4 linked regions of the Nothobranchius furzeri genome follow. The protein of the gene in region 1 purifies or fractionates together with the protein of each later gene. This does not show direct contact. Links are inferred from orthologs where the notes say so. Each region holds a gene or a part of one and is shown on either strand. Other genes may lie near its edges. The genes, in order: mcm4, ssrp1a, plk1 and sf3a1.

Region 1 (4,329 bases):
TTCCCACAAAGAGATCAGAGCCTTAAAAAGTCGATGCACTCAAGTGAAATGTGAACTGATCTTCTCAGGTTGAATGTTCCAAGGGAATTATTGTGACGTTTATTCCTGCAGGGATGAGTTCGAGGTCTTACCGGTGATGTTTACTCTGTCTCCAGGCTGAACTTTATCAACCAGGTCATTGTGAGCGTACACAACCGTGGTGTGAGGCGTCTGCCCGGCCGGCATGTCTTCGGGAGACTCCTGAATTTTGATCTGTTGCAAAGATCAGTGAATGAACAGATGTCAGAATCTGTCAACGCATCACTAAGTACCACCTGCCACATTCAGATGATGATGTCACCATGAAGCATCAAACTCCCACCATCTGTTTGTCAGAGAAGACCGAGCGGTTGTGAATCAGCGCCAGACTGTGGGTGTTGTTGCAGTGGCGACACACGCCCGGCTCGGCGATGCGGCCGCGATCCACCTCCATGCGGACGGTGAAGGCGCACACCTGGCACTGGAAGAAGGCCTCCTGCATCTCTGGGATGAGCTGCGAGGTGCGGATCACCATGCCGCTGATGGTGATTAGCTGATCGATGTCTGTGGGGGCGACAAGCGTTAGTGTTCACAGAAACCCCACACAAAATATGGGATGGGAGGTTTTGCATGTGCTCATCTGGGCCTGAATTAATGAACACACACACACACCTTCTGGGTTCAGACTCCTCATGTTTCTGGTTTTCAGGGCGTTGTAGGGGCGAACTTGGATCTGGTACTCCAGAATGGAATCTGGGAAACGCTCAAAGAAAAGCTCATTGACGGCCATGTCAAAGGTCGGGATAACTTCCTGCAAAAAAATACACAACAGGATGTTTCCCACTTTAATAATTTACTTTTTCTCATTTTTAAAGTTTAAACGGAACTACCATACTTGTGGGTAGCAGATGAGCTGCCTGTACAGGTCTGCGTCAAAGGACTGCACATGTTGGCAGTTGACGTTTATCACGGGGTCACCCACAACGCTGATCTGAGAGACGAAGACATGAAAGTTAATACCTGAACACGATCTGCAGGATCACGGTAGAACCAGCGAGTACCTCTTCCAGCTTCTGCATGTACAAAGGCTCATTTAAGTCCAGACCAGCGTTCTCATCCTCAGTAGAATTTGGGTCGATGAACCGCTGCAGAAACCTCTGAAAGCACAAAAAGATCATAAAGACTTGTTCTAATAAAAAGACATCACATATCAGTTACGGTCATACCTGGAACTTCTCCTTGCAGGTTCCCACGTTGACATCAGTCCCCCAGATCACCAGACTCTGGGCTGCATTTGGTTCATTTGCTGCAACACCATCTGCACTTGGCTGAAAAATAAAAATGAATGTTTAGATTCTCTGTTTTCAGGCTGGATTTGAAAACATTAAACTTGCTCTTCTACTGACTGCATCAGAATGAAGATCAACTTGAGGAGCCTTCCTGACTGATCCCAGATCAGGTCGTTGTCTGGCCGGTGTTCCACGCACTCCACTGCGCGGGGTCCCTTCGACCCTGGAGCTCGGGGTCCCATACATCAGAGGGGAGCTCATGTCCACTTCATTAGGCAGAACTGTAGCAATCCCATCAAACAGATTAATAATCTCATTTCAGTTTTATTCTATAAAAGGTCATAAAGAATAAAACTATGAAATACCTGAAGGCCGCGGGCTCGAGAACAGGGAGGTGTCTTGCTGAGCTGCAGGACTGGCCATGTCTGTGGCTGGAGAGGTGGGCATAGGCATCAGGTCACCAGTGGAGGAGTCCTGACCTCTGCGTCGCTGAGAGGGAGGCGAGGTTGGGTCCTCCCTAAGCGCTGAGATTTACACAGAACATCAAAGTAAACAAAGCATGCTTCACAACAATAAATCACATCACAGGGATGAACATGTAAATGAGCGTACGAGTGGAAGGGTTGGTGTTCCTTCCACGTTTGCGGCCACCAGGAGTCGATGCAGGGGAAGACATGGCTGATGGGATATCTGCATGACAAAAAACAAGACTTAGGGTGATTTAAGCGTTTTTATGTTCAGACTTGATCAATACATTTCTTTTCACGATGCATGTTTTGTTTGGATGAAAGAAGCTTCGTAAAAAAATAATCAAAAACTGCCAACAGTTTCTGTACAATTTCTCCATTCTACGCGTTGGAGTCATCATGTTGATATTTCCTTAAATCCAATTAAATTAACATTCAACCAAATACTTTCAGAATTTAGTTTTTACTTTAAATAGTAACAAGTTGACATGCTGAGAGTTTTGGTTAAACTGTAGGCAGTTTATTACTGGTTCCTATTGGTGGCCGGTTCAAATAGAAATCGCTTGATTGTCAGACAACTACACAGAACTCTGCAGTGTCAAACCACGACAGTCAGAAAAATCTCGCTTAGCGGCAAAAATGACCTACAAACTTCATTAACAGACTCAACTTATCTGGTCACGTTAACATTTTCCTTCAATAAAAGGTGTTCTATGCTCATCCGTTAGTTTTAGAGCCACTTATGCTAACTTTGGACACCATTTGACATGTGGCTGCACAGACAATAATGAACCTCCCTGCCTGTTGGATTTCACTGGATCTGCGAGTTAAATGTGACTTAAATAAAAACAAAACCCAAACATTTGCTCGCAATTAAGATGAGCTTGTTTGCCAAAGCGTACAGTTACTGAAAAGCTACCTACCGATTTAACAAGGATTAACTTGAAGAATTACTGATTTTCTTACCACTTTTGTGTATGTCCGAGTGCCGCAGTTGTGGCGCGAATCTGCTGCTGACGTAGATTTCGCGGGGAACTTTCAGCCAATAAAAAGTAAGGACTGTCCTCCCGTTTCCGGCCGACTCCTTTACTTCAGAGGTGTGTACGGTTAAGTTTTGCTCCTTTCTGCTCATTAATAACTGTACAATTTTACATAATCCAAAAAACTATCAAATTAATTTTAAAACGTTTGTTTTATTCATGTTAATGTTCGCAGCCTGTTTTGTGAATCCTACGTGAAGTGTTTTGTTGATCACGCCTCCTAGCTGATTTGGTTTCGTCCAACAGGAAGCGACTTTTTCTTGCGATTGAAACATGAAATGGCAAAAGTGCGTTATTATGGTCATTATATAATCAGGCTACAGATTTAAACGGACAGCTGATTGTGAAAATGGGATTTTCACTGTTATCTTTCATTACAACATTTTACGTCATTTCTTATCCTAATACGGCTTTACAACGTTTGGCTAACTTATGGAGACTTTGAGACTTTGGCCCAAAACTATTGAATTTATTGACCTTTTAAAGTAATGTTTATGACTAAGTTTCCATTCTTACCCAGTTTCTGAAATGTATCTTGGAATTAATTATTGGTGGTTAATTAATATGTTCATAAATGATTTATAGCTTATGAAAAGTTCTTGATTAATGAATTTAGAAATATATATTTTTTTACAGAGGAGAAATCTGATCGGTATGTTTAATTAGCTAACAACAGGTGTTGAAACTTGTACAGCAAGTTGTTAACTTGTCTGAAAAACATAATAAAAATAAACAAATAAATACCAATTTCTGAATTTCCGTGAGTCTCTTGAGGTCCGATTTTCGTGTTAGACAGAAACTCAACATATGTGTGGTCTAGCTTGGATATTTCCTTTTTGCATTTATTAAGACAGCATACTTTAATTATGTCATAGCATGACTACATGTTCTGCAAGAAATTATTTAATCAATAACTGAAATAATACTAGGGCTAAATAGCTCACTTTCTTGTTGTATTGGTTGGATTTCAGAGGACTTCCGCCATCTTCTGGTTCAAAATATGCAATACAGACCAATAGTGTTGGTAGAATAGAATAGTCCCACAGTGGAGAAATTACCTTGCTACAGCAGCACATACACTTAGAGAAGACTAAGAATACAGTTAGTACTAGAATAAATTATATTATTGCTTTACAAAATAGGGATTAAAGAGAGGTCTGTTTGTTGATTAAATGATGATGTTGCTGCGATGGTGTGGGTGTGATGTGCTGATTACACGGTGGTCTGTGAGCACTTAACCATGAGACATAACAGTTAAATGTGCTCTTAATTGAAGAGGAAGAAAATCAAATGTTCGAAGTAAGTGTGATCTGCAGGTACAAATACAACCACCGTGTGGCGCACTTTCCACACCAGAGGGAAGCATCAGAGGAAAAGTACTACAAACTTCCAAAGATGAAACCATGAGAAACATTTCCGAGAAGTGTCGGCCTGTCGGTGATTTAGGAGAGCCTCTCAGACAGAAACAACCATTTGAGATCATCAGAAAAACGACGTTAACAGCTTCAACTTGAG
Region 2 (3,612 bases), on another chromosome or scaffold:
GTATGTGGTCAGACACAAATTATATTCCCATTGGGAACTTGTGGTTCATCCTCACAAAAAAAAAAAAAAATCTTTAAATATTTACCTGCAGTGTACAATTACCCACCTGAGTGACAGTTTCCGCTTTTGCTTGGTCTATGGTCATAATGTTATGGCGGAGGGATGTATGGTGCATAAAACATTTCACACCAAGTTTGAGTTTTGTTTTTACAGACGAAGAGGGCAGCAGCAAGCCAGAAGCATGATGCTAGTGGTTGTACGCAAAGGAAAAAGATTACTGAAAAGCTTTTATTTTGATTGAGAAAACATGACAAGGCAAAACAAACAAAAATATCACTTTGAAGAGCACTAAACAGAAGGAATATTCATCTGGAACCTTCTGGAGCATCCACTTGATAAAACTAGTAAGTCCTACAGTCCTCAGTGCTGTTTAACCAACACAACCATGGGTTGGCTGGTGATAAGCTGCAGGTATCCCATCATGCATCTGAGCTGCTCAAATATCACATTACAGATCCAAACGTGGTCACAGGGTTTTATTGTTGTAACCACATGGAGAATAAAACCATACAACTCCAGTTTGCTGACTGATCTGAAATCATCAGTATAAACAGTTGGTCCTTGGTGTGTGTGTGTGTGTGAGTATCTAATCAGACTCTGGCTCTGAGCTTGCCGGTGTGGACACAGCTTCCTCCTCCTCTTCATCCGATTCCTGAAGTCAACAGAAGAGCTGGTGTTATCAGCAGTAGAGGCACGATGAAAGTGTTAAAAGTTCTGATGCGCTAACGCCTCACTGATCAGATGCTTGTACATTAGACTAGTAGAGTTCAAATTTAAAAGATGAGAGCTACTCTAGTCTGTCGTTTACACGTCACGCTGCTGCTGCTTCTTCTAAAACACGGCTAAGCTGTAAAAAGAAAAGCAGAGGTGAGATTCTGATCTTCAGAGCTTTGAACTTCTTTGTAGCAAAGATTACTAAATATCAGCTTCTCCTCTTAGTAGTCGGTTGAGGACACGGGGGGAAACTGCTGCTTTTTCATTAAACTGATCTGAACTGGGACGCCTGGCTTTAATGAAAACCTGTGTCCATTTAGAATTAACGTATTTATGAGTTTGTCATCACTCAGCAGAATGACTGTCCTGACTACAGACTGATGTTCTACCGCCGGCTCCTACCTTTTTCCTCTTGCTTTTGCTCTTGCGGTCTGAGTCAGAGGAACTGTCCTCGCTGGTCTCGATGAACTCTCGGCTCTTAAAGCTGTCGTTGCCTCCGCTTCGCTCCCTCTCTTTGTCTGCGCCCGCAGACTTCCTCTTCTTCTCATCCTTTTTGCCTCCAGATTTTTTACTTTCTCTAATGATCAGACGTGTGGAGGAAAGAAAGCAGATGTGTAACAACTCTGATGAAGAAACATAAAAACTGCTCCTGTGATGAGAGCCTTACTTCTTGGAGGTGGAGGTGGATCCTCCGCCGCTCTCCTTGAACTCCTTCTTAGCTTTGTCGTACTGCTTTTTTGCCTCTCCTGCCTTTGTTTCCCACTCCTGGAGGGCACATCCGTGTGAGTTTAATAAAACGCAGCAGAAATGTAAAAGCACCTCTGTGATGTTCTCACCTCCTTCTCGTCTTTGCCCAGCTGCCTCCACATCTCTCCGGCTTTCTTCGATATCTCGGTGATGGAGATGCCGGGGTTCTCCGCCTTGATTCGCTCTCGGCTGGAGTTGAGCCAAAGCATGTAGGCGCTCATCGGCCTCTTCGGCCCACCGGTGTCCTTCTGCTTCTTCTGTTTGAATTTAGGATATAAGAGTCAGCAGTCATGTCGAGTTCGATGGGTTAATGTACGGCACAGCCGGTTTATGTTAGATCGTGAAATCAGGCTTTTGAAGCCTAATGTTCTCCTCCTGCTGGTCTCTCACCTCTTTACGTGGTTTTCTCTCCTTTTTCTCCTTCACAACTTTGGCTTTTTTAGCCTTTTTCTTCTTTGCACCCTCATCTTCACTGTCCCCCCCCTCTTCGCTGCTGTCACTTGCAGAGGCGTTACTATCGTACCTGGAAGAAAGGAGGAACAGACGTTTACAACAACTACAGGTATCATCTCAAGCTTTAAAAATGAAGTTAAACCAAACTTACTCTTCTGCAATTTCATCATCTTCTTCTCCAGGGTTGAAGGACTCATCTAAAGAGAGAAGAAAACCCTCGTTCAACCATTACCATCCTCTCATCGCGAGCGGTTACATTTGAAACAGTCACTAACCGCTTCCACTTCCATCCGACTCGTCGCTGTCATTGCCCTCCTCTCTGATCTTGCCCTCAGCCTTCATCCTCTCCAGATAGGCATCGTGCTGGTCTTCGTCTGAGTCGCTGTACTCGTCGATTTTACCCTTCATGCCCTGGAAAGTACGCAGCACGGTCAGGAAAACACCACAAACACACAACGTCAGAGCTAACACGCTAGCCCAGACTGTGGTTAGATGTTTGAAGGTGTCGCGGCTTCACAAAGCCTGAGTTTTGCTCGTGGGACACCGTCCTCCCTATCCGTCTTGGATCCAGCATCAACCACAGTCAAAGGAAACACAACCAGTAACCAAAACAGGAGGTGTGACGTTTCAGCTCCAGATTGCACCGTTACTAAAACACTACAAGCAAGTTAGCTTTGACCTGTTTCATGTCTAAAATCACTTTGACTACAAACCCTCAAATGTTTTATGGTCCAGGACAATGAAACTAAGCATCACCGTTACCAAAAGGAAGACCTACACTCAAGTTAAATTTGAGTTAGTGAATTTCCCTTTTCCCTGTTTGAACCAGGCAATAGTAAGTTAACACTGGGGATGTTCTGACCAAAACTGGCCAATTTTCATAAAAAACAAACAAAAAACGTGTGCAAATTCCCATCAATGCCTTTATGTCCCATGCTGTGTTGCAGCCTGCGGAGACCCTGTGTGCAGCATCGCGATTCCCTACCCCCTTCTGTCGCACTGTGCATGTGTGCAGCAGCTGAAGTGCAAACACGCGTCTGCCAAACGGAGGGTGATGTAAACGTTGCATTTTGCAATGAAAAAGTATTGCATGAGGGAAGCTCTCTAAAATGCATCAACACAATGGACTTAATATGACTCTTAAAGAATAAACTCTTGCAGGGATGTGAATTTTCAAGGCTCACTGCAGAAATAGAATAAAAACCTGGAGCAGCTAACGGAGTCAGACGCAGCGGCACACACTATCACTCGTCTGTACGAGTGCGACAGTCGGCAGGCTGAGCATCGAACTTGAAAAATAAAGCCATCATAGATGAGCAGCCTGTCTCTGTGGTGGATGACACCAGGTCCAGCCCACTAGGACCCGCTACAGGTATTAAATAAATAAATACACATAATAATAATAATAATAATAATAAATCAAATAAAATCTCACAACACACAAAGATGTGAGATTTATCTTTTGCTTTTCGGCACTTTTTACTCAGAGCTTTTAATATTTGAAATCTGTTTTCCTTTTGACTGAATCGTTGCTGCTTCTTGCAGCACGTTGGTGTAGACTCAGTCATCCTGGATGTGATCAAGAGTTTTCTGGTTTTCTTGAAGTTTTGCCTCATGCTAGAGGCTCCATCAGTTCTA
Region 3 (4,299 bases), on another chromosome or scaffold:
AAGGCCACTTTGACCAAATTTAAGCTTCTTTTTTTTTTAAATTAAATTTAAGCTATAATTTCCAGCTATTGCCTGGAACCGGTGCTAACCAGGTCGTGAACGTGGGATTAGCCATCCATTTACCATTAATGTTGCACTTCCCCATGGTGCAAACTCCCACTAGCATGCTCATCTAAAAATAGCCCCCTTTCACAACCAACCGAATGTGTACGGTTCCGCTTACGCCAATATCATACACAAAAAATGCCAAACTAACTAGAAATTCATGAAAATTTTATAGAAATAAAAGAATCTTGTTTATTGGGTCTTTGGTAATTTAAGACCGTTGGAAACTATTTAAGGACTATTTGTCATTTTTAAGGATTTTTAAGGCCTTAAATTTGGAAAAGCTAATTTAAGACTTTTTATGGACCTGCAGATACCCTGTATATACTTTTAATAGTCTAAACCAAACTTACAAAGTTAAAATTGCAGCTTATGTGAACAAACAAACGGTCTCCTAACATTTACCTAATCCATATTTATCAGAGTAGTCGACCCATTTGCTGATCCAGAAGATGGGGATGCACGCAGGATCCTCGGCCTCCTCTGGAATTACACAAAAAAACCTTAGATGTAGATTAAAAAGTAGATAACCGCATCCGTTTTGACAAAATTCAGAGAAATAGCAACAGAGACTCCACAAGATCGGTAAAGACGAAGTGAGACACGTCCACTAACCTTGCTGGATGACGGCCCTTTCAGAGGGTTTGGTGGACATGATGCTGTTCAGCTGCTGCAGCATGTCTTTCAGGTAGGGCTCTGATGGTTCAGCCGCCCTGCACACACACACATTTAAAGGTTAACAACATCTACGCAAAGAAAAGATAAAAACTAACAGAACTAGAATTTTTATAAAATGTTTGTCATGTGATAAATAAATGAAAAACACCTTTGCATAGGCTCGTCTTTCACCTCCGTTTTCTCCGTACCAACTGGGAACAAAGAAAAAAAAAACGTTAACATCTAAAACAAGACTAATAAAATCTATGTGGATCAACTCAAACATCATTGCCTAGGAAAAATAAAAACAAAGATTTTCATTTTGATCGCCATTACCCTTGTTTAGAGCAGTCAGAGGACGCCGCTGGCTGAGCTCTGCAGTTGTGGAGGGGGCGATGGAGAACCGAGGGGGTACAGTAAGACACGTGGTGGGCAGACGGAGGGGGATGTAGCCGGACGTAAAGAACTCATCGGCCTGCACTTCAGCAACGCTTGGCCTCTGTGCAGGATCGGCGTGCAGCATCTTCTTGATCAGAGTCGCCGCAGTCGGGGTGATGTGCTGCAGGTTGTTCAGATCATACGACTCAATTATTAACTTAATTTTAGAAAGAAAACGGTGCATTCAGTTTGATTTTCATACCCAGGGGATGGTGTAGTTGTTCTTCTTGATGCGACTGTAGGTGTCCTTCAAACAGGAGGTCTCAAACGGGGGCTTGCCCACCAACAGAGTGTACCTGAAAGAACAGAAAAGGGAAGCTTTCACAGCTGGGACATTTCAAATGAGTTGCGTTTGTGGGCCTGTACTTACAATATGCACCCAAGTGACCAGACATCGACCTCATAGCTGTGGCCCTTTTTACAAAGCACTTCTGGTGCTATGTAGTTGGGCGTTCCACACAAAGTCTTCTTTCGTTCGCCTTCAAACTCGATCTTAGTCGCCAAGCCAAAGTCCCCTAAACAAGAGAGAACACGTAATAACGAGGCATGCTTTGATTCAAATCCTTCTCGACGTGATAAAAACAAAAGATCTAGTGCAAGCTACAAGTCCAAGCAAGTGGAGTACCAATTTTGACATCCATGTCGTCGTTGAGGAAGATATTGCCCAGTTTCAGGTCTCTGTGGATGACCTTGTTGTTGTGCAGGTACTGGACACCCTTCAGCAGCTGGGCCATGTAGTAGCGAGCTTCAGGCTCCGTCACAGCCTTGCGGCGTTTGTGCAGCTCCAGCAAGGACTGAAATAAAGCATTTTAAACAGTCAAGACAACAGCTCAAGAAAAGAGTGATCTTTTATGCGTTTAATTATAAGATTGAACATATGGTACACATGGGGCCACCAGAGTGGTACTGGACCAATAAACCCACATTTATAGGCTAGAAGTTTCTTTTTAAGATGTTTTTATCAAAGATCAAATAGTTGTGAGGTGTTAAATGAGTCTGGTACTGCTTGCTTCCCACTATTTAAACATGAGGACAACGGAAGATGTCGCAGTGTTTAACCGTCGGCTCTAAACCTCACTGAAAAGCTGGTTTCCTTCCATCGTACTCACCCTTCTCCTGCAGATCTCCAGGACCACAAACACATGGTCATCGTCTTCGAAAAACCCGTGGAAGCCGACGATGTTAGCGTGATCCAGACTCTTGTGTATGGCGATTTCCGAGGTCATCTTATCCCTTTGGTGCTGCTTTTGTAACAAATACTTAGCTACGATCTTGCCAGCAAACACCGTCTTCGTCTCTACATCTGTGATCTCGTAGCATTTGGCGAAACCACCCTTCCCGAGGAATCTCCCCCTCGTGTATCTTTTCATGGTTCGGGAATCAACGAGAATTTCTGGGATTTCTTTGAGAGGTGCCGATTTGGGATCCGCACGTTCCAACGGCTTTGCGGTACCAGCACTCATTTTGTATTAGAGCTGTCTTCTATGAACTTACAGGAATGTTTATTTTCTCTCCGCGCAGTAAACGTGGTGAAAACTACAAGAATCAAACTACTAACCCTAACACAACCGACGTTACTTTAGCCTAGCTAGCTAACTTTCTCCCATACACGTCTGAATTTAAATCTAATCACGAGTTTAGACTTCCTGAAAGCAAGCGATAATTAACATTAGGTTCTACAATTATAAAACGACATATATAGACATAAATATTAAAATAAATCTGCTTTCCTCATGGAATAATTCAGCAGACGTGTCCGACGGCGGCGTCTCCTGTGTTCTGTTCTGCCCTTCGAAAACAGTTTCTAGTATTAAGTTAAATGCTCGCTCTGTCGCCACGGCGCTTTCTCATTGGTCCACTTGATTTGAATTCTACGCAAAGCATTGTGGGAAGAAAAATGCAAAACTAGCCAATCAACGGGGTTGAAATAAAGTTCTAACATCGTGATTGGCTCAATGACGTCTTGCGTTTCCTTAACGCAAAGGCTGATGGTAAATGTAGACTAGTGTTAGATTTTACTTGATTTTATCGTCATCCAGAATCCAAGAAGGATTTAATTTTAACATGTAATCATATTATTAAACTGGATAAAACAGTGAAACGACAGTGTGGTCAAAATAAAAACGAAAATTGAAATAAAATAAGACGAAATGCACAAACGTTTTGAGTAATAAAAGCATGTTTGCAAAAACGATATCGGCACAGAACTATTAAATTGTGTATTTCTACAGTTAAAAGGTAAATTGAGAAAATCATGATGTTGCAAAAAATTACATTATTGATAGTTTAATTCACTTTCACACATATTCCACTGGGTGGCAGCAGTGGACAAATTCACAATTATTGTTCCTTGAGAAAGCACTTTTTTCAGACCAATCACACAATAAGCACTTCATATGACACAGCACGGATTCACAGCTGTAAATAATGAGATCATAAATAGATTATTGTCATGATGGTCTAGAATTAACTTTATAAATGTCTAATCATTAAATAGGTAACATCATCTTAAAATAAAAATTTCAGTCCACAACACTTTTTCCAGGGAATCATTTTCTGTTGAAGCCTCCCATAGTTATTAAAACAAAAAGTAAGAGTGCACAGCTAGTGGCTGATTTGACTTTGTTATAAGGGGGGATGTTTAATATAGGGACTATTTACTATGCACACACTCTTTAAAATATGTGTGTTTTACAGTTTTTTGTTTTTTCACTTTGTGTGTTTGTTTATAAATGGTCTTCAGGCTTTAGTCCGACTGGTGGGTGATGTGTGGAGATTGCTGGCTTATATGTGTCTGTTCCATTTTTGCACATTCATCCTTCTCTTCTGCTGCCATGTGTTTCCATGGCAACACACAGAAGATGCTGTAGGGAAAACTAAATGAAGTAAGCTTGTCTGTGCTTGTATGGGTCAACATTTACACACATTTAGTTTATTACACAGGATTTTGCAGAGAGCTGAACGTCCTCTGCAGAGGGGCACAAAGAAAGTAGAGTAGGTTACCTCCCTCCATGTTTCATCTTCTTTTCTTCCACAGTTTTGGCTCACTGGAATCTCAAGGGTGCTGTGAGCTCTTTAATTTTTCACCTACATAAAGTA
Region 4 (4,265 bases), on another chromosome or scaffold:
AGAATTAAACTAAATCTGGGGATCATGAGTGAGCTGTTAGGTAGTCAAGACTGCATCAAAAGCCTCCAAAAAGATCTGGCGGACATCCAAGCAGCCATCGTGGACGTCTTTTCCAGAACAGGACCGGTCAGCTTTACCTCTTGGAAGTTCCCTGACAAACTCTCCTGTAATGTGGACATGTTGGCTCTGCTGGAGGAGTACGACTATGTAGACGGAGAGGATGCCTTCAATCAGCACTCCCACATTGTTTTACTGGAATTAGTGATTGACAGGTAATAAAATGTGTTTTATATGTTATGCATTGTTACCAAAGTAATTCTATTAACATTTGCCTTTCTCCTTTTCTAAAAAGATTATTGCTACTTCTACAAAGTGTTAGTGTTTACAATGAGGTGCCGAGAGGCAGACAGAGAGGAGAGCAAACCCAGCAGACAACATACTTGTCAGTTGGACTCGTGGTCAAGAACTACTGTGGGAATTTACTCCTATCAGCCAACAAAAAGGTAGTATTAATGTTAGAAAATACAAAATACTCTAAAAATTGCATTTTAAATGAAAGATCTGGATACTTTTATGCTTTCTTTTTCACAGGAGCCCTTTAAAGATACAAAGCCATTTGACTCCAACAACACAAATATGGTGCTGTCCAACCCTGCTATAACTAGCTCGAAGACTGAACTTAGTAGCTTTTGTGCATCTGCCTTGTCTTCAGCAAGCTCATTTGATTTTGTCCCACAAACTAACAACACTCCATGCTATCCTAAAGCTGAGCAGCATCATGTGAGCTGCCAGACAACAAGTTCGTCCCTTATTCCCTGCAGCGCTTGCCATCAGGTGCAGTCCCTTTTGAGAAACACGGGAGATGCATTGATAGATCTGTTACAGAGTGAGGGTTTGCCCTCATCTCTGCAGCCTCTCGCAGCAGCTATGGAGGACATTGTGGGTGACATGACATCAGGCGATGTAGCCCAGTGGGCCGAAGAGCAGCTCCGGGACACGAGCCGGCTGACCAAACATCTTAAGGATGTCCAGGGTACTGTGCAGCCTCTTGAAGAAAGAATTGCCGTAGCTGAAATGGAACGTGACAGTTTCAAATCTGAGCTGGAAAGTGCACAGAAACAATTCAAGCAAGAGCTGGAAAAACACCAAATAAACTCTGTCCAGCTGGAGTTTTCTCTACGGAAAGCACAGAGATCCTCAAAAGAAACAGAGCAAAGGCTACAAAAGGAGCAACAACAGCTGAAGAGAGGTAGTTAACACAATCGGTTTTATAACAAGAATGTATTGACATCATAGTTTTTACTATAAATATTTTTCACATTTTTGTGACAGAAAATATGTCCCTGGAGGAGACTAATAACAGACTAAAGGAGAAAATAGCACTGCAACATGACAGCTTACAAGTGCTTGGTAATGAGATGCAGATTCTGTCATTCAACACATCTACAGTATGATGCTGCATAATGACGATTCATTTGCTGGTAGAAACTGAAAAGAAAGCACTCCATGAGAAAGTGAAGAACCTGCAAACAGAGAAAGAGGCCTGCTGCAGACTGCAGGAACAGATCCAACAGCTAGAAACTCAAGTTTCTGATGCTACATTTCTTCTTGACAAGGAGAAGGCCAAGTACAGGAGCGCCTGTCGTCAGCAGGAGGTCAGTGTCACTGTAAAGGCCAGCATAGCTATAAAGGGGATCCTTCACACTGTTTTCAATATAATTGTGTATCCAGTCAATGCTGGCAAAGCAAAAGTCGTTGCTGGAAAGAGTTGATGCTCTCGATGAAGAGTGCGAAGAGCTGCAGAGGGAGCTAGGAGAGAAAGAGGAGGAACGGATCACCTTACACAATCAGATGTCAAAGGTGGAGGAACAGCAGGCTCAGCTCATGCAGCAGCAGGTATATATGTGGCCTAAAATGCAATACAATTGTACTGTAAATGGCCTTAGTTATAATAAAGTCTGTTTTGTTCTTGTTCTTCCATCAGAATTTGTGTGAGGAGCTCCAGAAGGAGAAGCAGACATTAGAAGTAAATGCGGATGAGTTGAAAAAGCAAGTGGCTGACCTGACAAGGCGTGTGGACTCTTTAAAGGAGAGGGAGAGACTGCTGGTGGCTTTCCCAGAGCTCAACAACTGGTCCCAGGCCCAACCTCAGAGTAGGTTGCTACTGAATAACATTATCTGATTATATTTGATTAGATTTATTTCCAGTATAATAATAGCACATGACTTTATTTACATTCTAGGTACAGGAAACTTGATTTTGGATATGGAGCAACAGCTTCAAGCAAACAGAATTCGTATAAAAGTGATGGAACAGGAAAATGCTACTCTGCACAAAAGTCTTGAGAAATTGAAAACAAGAGCTCAGCAAAATGCCTGCAGGGTATGGATGTACACAAAGGAGTTTCATGTGAAGTAGATCATGCACCGTTGGGATTATTATAACTCATTTGTAATGTATGTGTCTGAATAGGAACCTGCACCTCTGCAGACATGAAGCCAGTTTTATTCCTTGGAGTTTCATGTAAAAAACCAGATCAACGTGGATGCAACTGACTAAATAAAAACCTTATTGTTGAAAAAACTGAGCTGACATGTTTTACTTGCCTTTATTAGAAACAGCGTTGGTTGCTTTATTAATCCTCGTCAGTGCTGCATTTCCTGTTTAGAACACGTCAGCATAAAGGTCTCTGAGCTTGTTCTCTCTGTTCCCAAACTTCATCTTGTGATGTGCAGGAAATGCGGGGGTCAGTGAAGATATGCAAATGATTCTGTTGCGGCCTTTTACCACCCAAAACGAAATAATTCCAACAAAAGGCCATGGGTGGCAACCAAGCCCCCACAATGCCGCTCAGAAAATGGTCCCATCCCGGAAGTAAGAAAAATTGCAGTTCCACCCTCATCCGCTGGGGGCTGGTGCCAGAAGCGAGCAAATCCTCATTGACTCCCATGTTAAAAATGCCGATTTCACAGCAGAAATAAACATGTTTACAGCCTGGTGCCAAAACATGTTTTTTGTCTAAATTATCTAGTTTATACTCATGACAACTCTGAGGGGGGTGAATTTTTTTCTCACTCTTCTGTTTAAGTGTATTGAAAGCCTAAAATTCTGTATAATTAATGAGCATCCAACACACGTGACCGCCGCCTCAGACCCACGTGACCACAGAGCTAGCTCCGTGGAAAGGCCTCAGTACAGCCTCGGTCTGGCTTGGAAACTGCTCCGGCATTTTGAGTCTCTGTGTTTGTGTATTCTTCTTTGGATATTATTGGTGCAATTGTTGGACAAAATGACTTGCAGTGGTATTAATTGCACTAATAGAGCGTCCAAGGAGTCTCCACTTCATTTTTTTCGGTAAGTTAAAATCTATATTCGTATTTTATGTCACTGCTACCTTTAAACTAGCTGAGTTTACCGAAGTAGCTAGCTAACTATCAGTTTAACATGTAGCATGTACTGTTTAACCATGAAATTTAAATGTAAAATACGGTAAAATAATTAATAGGGCATATTTAGATGGGTAATAGGGTAAAACCCAGTGCATTTAAGATAAAAATGGGTTGAAATATGACGGAGCGCTAAGAGGGAGACTTCTGTGTCCATTCTTCCATCCGGTAATCCCCAGCGGTCAGGCCGGGCAGCCTGGACGATCCGGCGCCTATTTGCTGCGCCTAGCTGCTGCGCGGTCTGACCGCTCGTGGAGTTTTTCATGTCTGACTTTAACCGCATCTAATACTGTATTACGGCGTGAGCGCAACAGCGACAACTTAATATCGATGTGTAAGCAGCCTGAGTGGTAGGGTGTTTTCATCTGAACCCTCCAGCAGGCTATGCTGCACTATTGACGTGTTAGCGCGCGGCGCTAACAACTTAGCAACGTGACATGTCTCTGAGAAAGCGTAAAACACGGACGCTTCTTCTGAAGCGGAAAATAACACCTCTTCTTAAGCAGAGCAGGATGTCGCCTCGGCTCGTTCACGGCCGAGCCGGACTGAGCTCGATAACATTGACCAAGCACAGCCACTGGGTCGTTGTAGCTGCCACCAGGCCTGCTGAAGGAACTCCAGCGGGTTTCATCAGACTCGTAAAGTTTCTTGTTTTTGCTGGGGATTTCTGTATTTTACCGCTCCCTCCTGCAGTCTTCCCCTATTAAAATTTAAAATGTGTAACTTTATGTATTGTGATGAATGACTAATATTCATGTTAAACTGAAACGTTAGGCATTTAGGGGGAAAAAACAAAATAATAAACATTATACAGATGT

The links.
Region 2: the proteins of mcm4 (region 1) and ssrp1a purify together in Homo sapiens (affinity purification with mass spectrometry; 4 studies listed by BioGRID and IntAct, counting the BioPlex papers as one, with this or other methods). This does not show direct contact. The link is inferred for Nothobranchius furzeri from reciprocal best matches to the Homo sapiens genes MCM4 and SSRP1.
Region 3: the proteins of mcm4 (region 1) and plk1 purify together in Homo sapiens (affinity purification with mass spectrometry; 3 studies listed by BioGRID and IntAct, with this or other methods). This does not show direct contact. The link is inferred for Nothobranchius furzeri from reciprocal best matches to the Homo sapiens genes MCM4 and PLK1.
Region 4: the proteins of mcm4 (region 1) and sf3a1 fractionate together in Homo sapiens (co-fractionation; 3 studies listed by BioGRID, with this or other methods). This does not show direct contact. The link is inferred for Nothobranchius furzeri from reciprocal best matches to the Homo sapiens genes MCM4 and SF3A1.

Annotation. Positions count from the first base shown.
Region 1 is NC_091751.1:50,642,727-50,647,055, forward strand, and holds the start of mcm4 (DNA replication licensing factor MCM4), read right to left. Parts: upstream 2,836-4,329; 5' UTR 2,741-2,835; intron 1,998-2,740; 5' UTR 1,984-1,997; coding exon 1,920-1,983; intron 1,832-1,919; coding exon 1,673-1,831; intron 1,589-1,672; coding exon 1,425-1,588; intron 1,347-1,424; coding exon 1,245-1,346; intron 1,176-1,244; coding exon 1,080-1,175; intron 1,010-1,079; coding exon 914-1,009; intron 830-913; coding exon 691-829; intron 583-690; coding exon 362-582; intron 253-361; coding exon 132-252; intron 1-131. UniProt on the Homo sapiens protein: Acts as a component of the MCM2-7 complex (MCM complex) which is the replicative helicase essential for 'once per cell cycle' DNA replication initiation and elongation in eukaryotic cells.
Region 2 is NC_091741.1:91,665,304-91,668,915, reverse strand, and holds the end of ssrp1a (FACT complex subunit SSRP1a), read right to left. Parts: intron 2,386-3,612; coding exon 2,250-2,385; intron 2,172-2,249; coding exon 2,126-2,171; intron 2,045-2,125; coding exon 1,912-2,044; intron 1,779-1,911; coding exon 1,611-1,778; intron 1,540-1,610; coding exon 1,442-1,539; intron 1,352-1,441; coding exon 1,177-1,351; intron 713-1,176; coding exon 647-712; 3' UTR 521-646; downstream 1-520. UniProt on the Homo sapiens protein: Component of the FACT complex, a general chromatin factor that acts to reorganize nucleosomes. The FACT complex is involved in multiple processes that require DNA as a template such as mRNA elongation, DNA replication and DNA repair.
Region 3 is NC_091744.1:8,886,467-8,890,765, reverse strand, and holds the start of plk1 (serine/threonine-protein kinase PLK1), read right to left. Parts: upstream 2,844-4,299; 5' UTR 2,664-2,843; coding exon 2,310-2,663; intron 1,995-2,309; coding exon 1,826-1,994; intron 1,716-1,825; coding exon 1,571-1,715; intron 1,497-1,570; coding exon 1,403-1,496; intron 1,322-1,402; coding exon 1,099-1,321; intron 975-1,098; coding exon 932-974; intron 819-931; coding exon 721-818; intron 589-720; coding exon 511-588; intron 1-510. UniProt on the Homo sapiens protein: Serine/threonine-protein kinase that performs several important functions throughout M phase of the cell cycle, including the regulation of centrosome maturation and spindle assembly, the removal of cohesins from chromosome arms, the inactivation of anaphase-promoting complex/cyclosome (APC/C) inhibitors, and the regulation of mitotic exit and cytokinesis.
Region 4 is NC_091757.1:36,509,321-36,513,585, reverse strand, and holds the start of sf3a1 (splicing factor 3A subunit 1), read right to left. Parts: upstream 2,823-4,265; 5' UTR 2,608-2,822; intron 2,589-2,607; exon of another isoform or gene 2,498-2,588; coding exon of another isoform or gene 2,474-2,497; exon of another isoform or gene 2,420-2,473; coding exon of another isoform or gene 2,244-2,419; intron 2,154-2,243; coding exon of another isoform or gene 1,985-2,153; intron 1,897-1,984; coding exon of another isoform or gene 1,732-1,896; intron 1,656-1,731; coding exon of another isoform or gene 1,486-1,655; intron 1,411-1,485; coding exon of another isoform or gene 1,333-1,410; intron 1,250-1,332; coding exon of another isoform or gene 592-1,249; intron 504-591; coding exon of another isoform or gene 353-503; intron 273-352; coding exon of another isoform or gene 25-272; exon of another isoform or gene 1-24. Other genes in the region: ccdc157 (coiled-coil domain-containing protein 157), read left to right, coding at 25-272, 353-503, 592-1,249, 1,333-1,410, 1,486-1,655, 1,732-1,896, 1,985-2,153, 2,244-2,419. UniProt on the Homo sapiens protein: Component of the 17S U2 SnRNP complex of the spliceosome, a large ribonucleoprotein complex that removes introns from transcribed pre-mRNAs.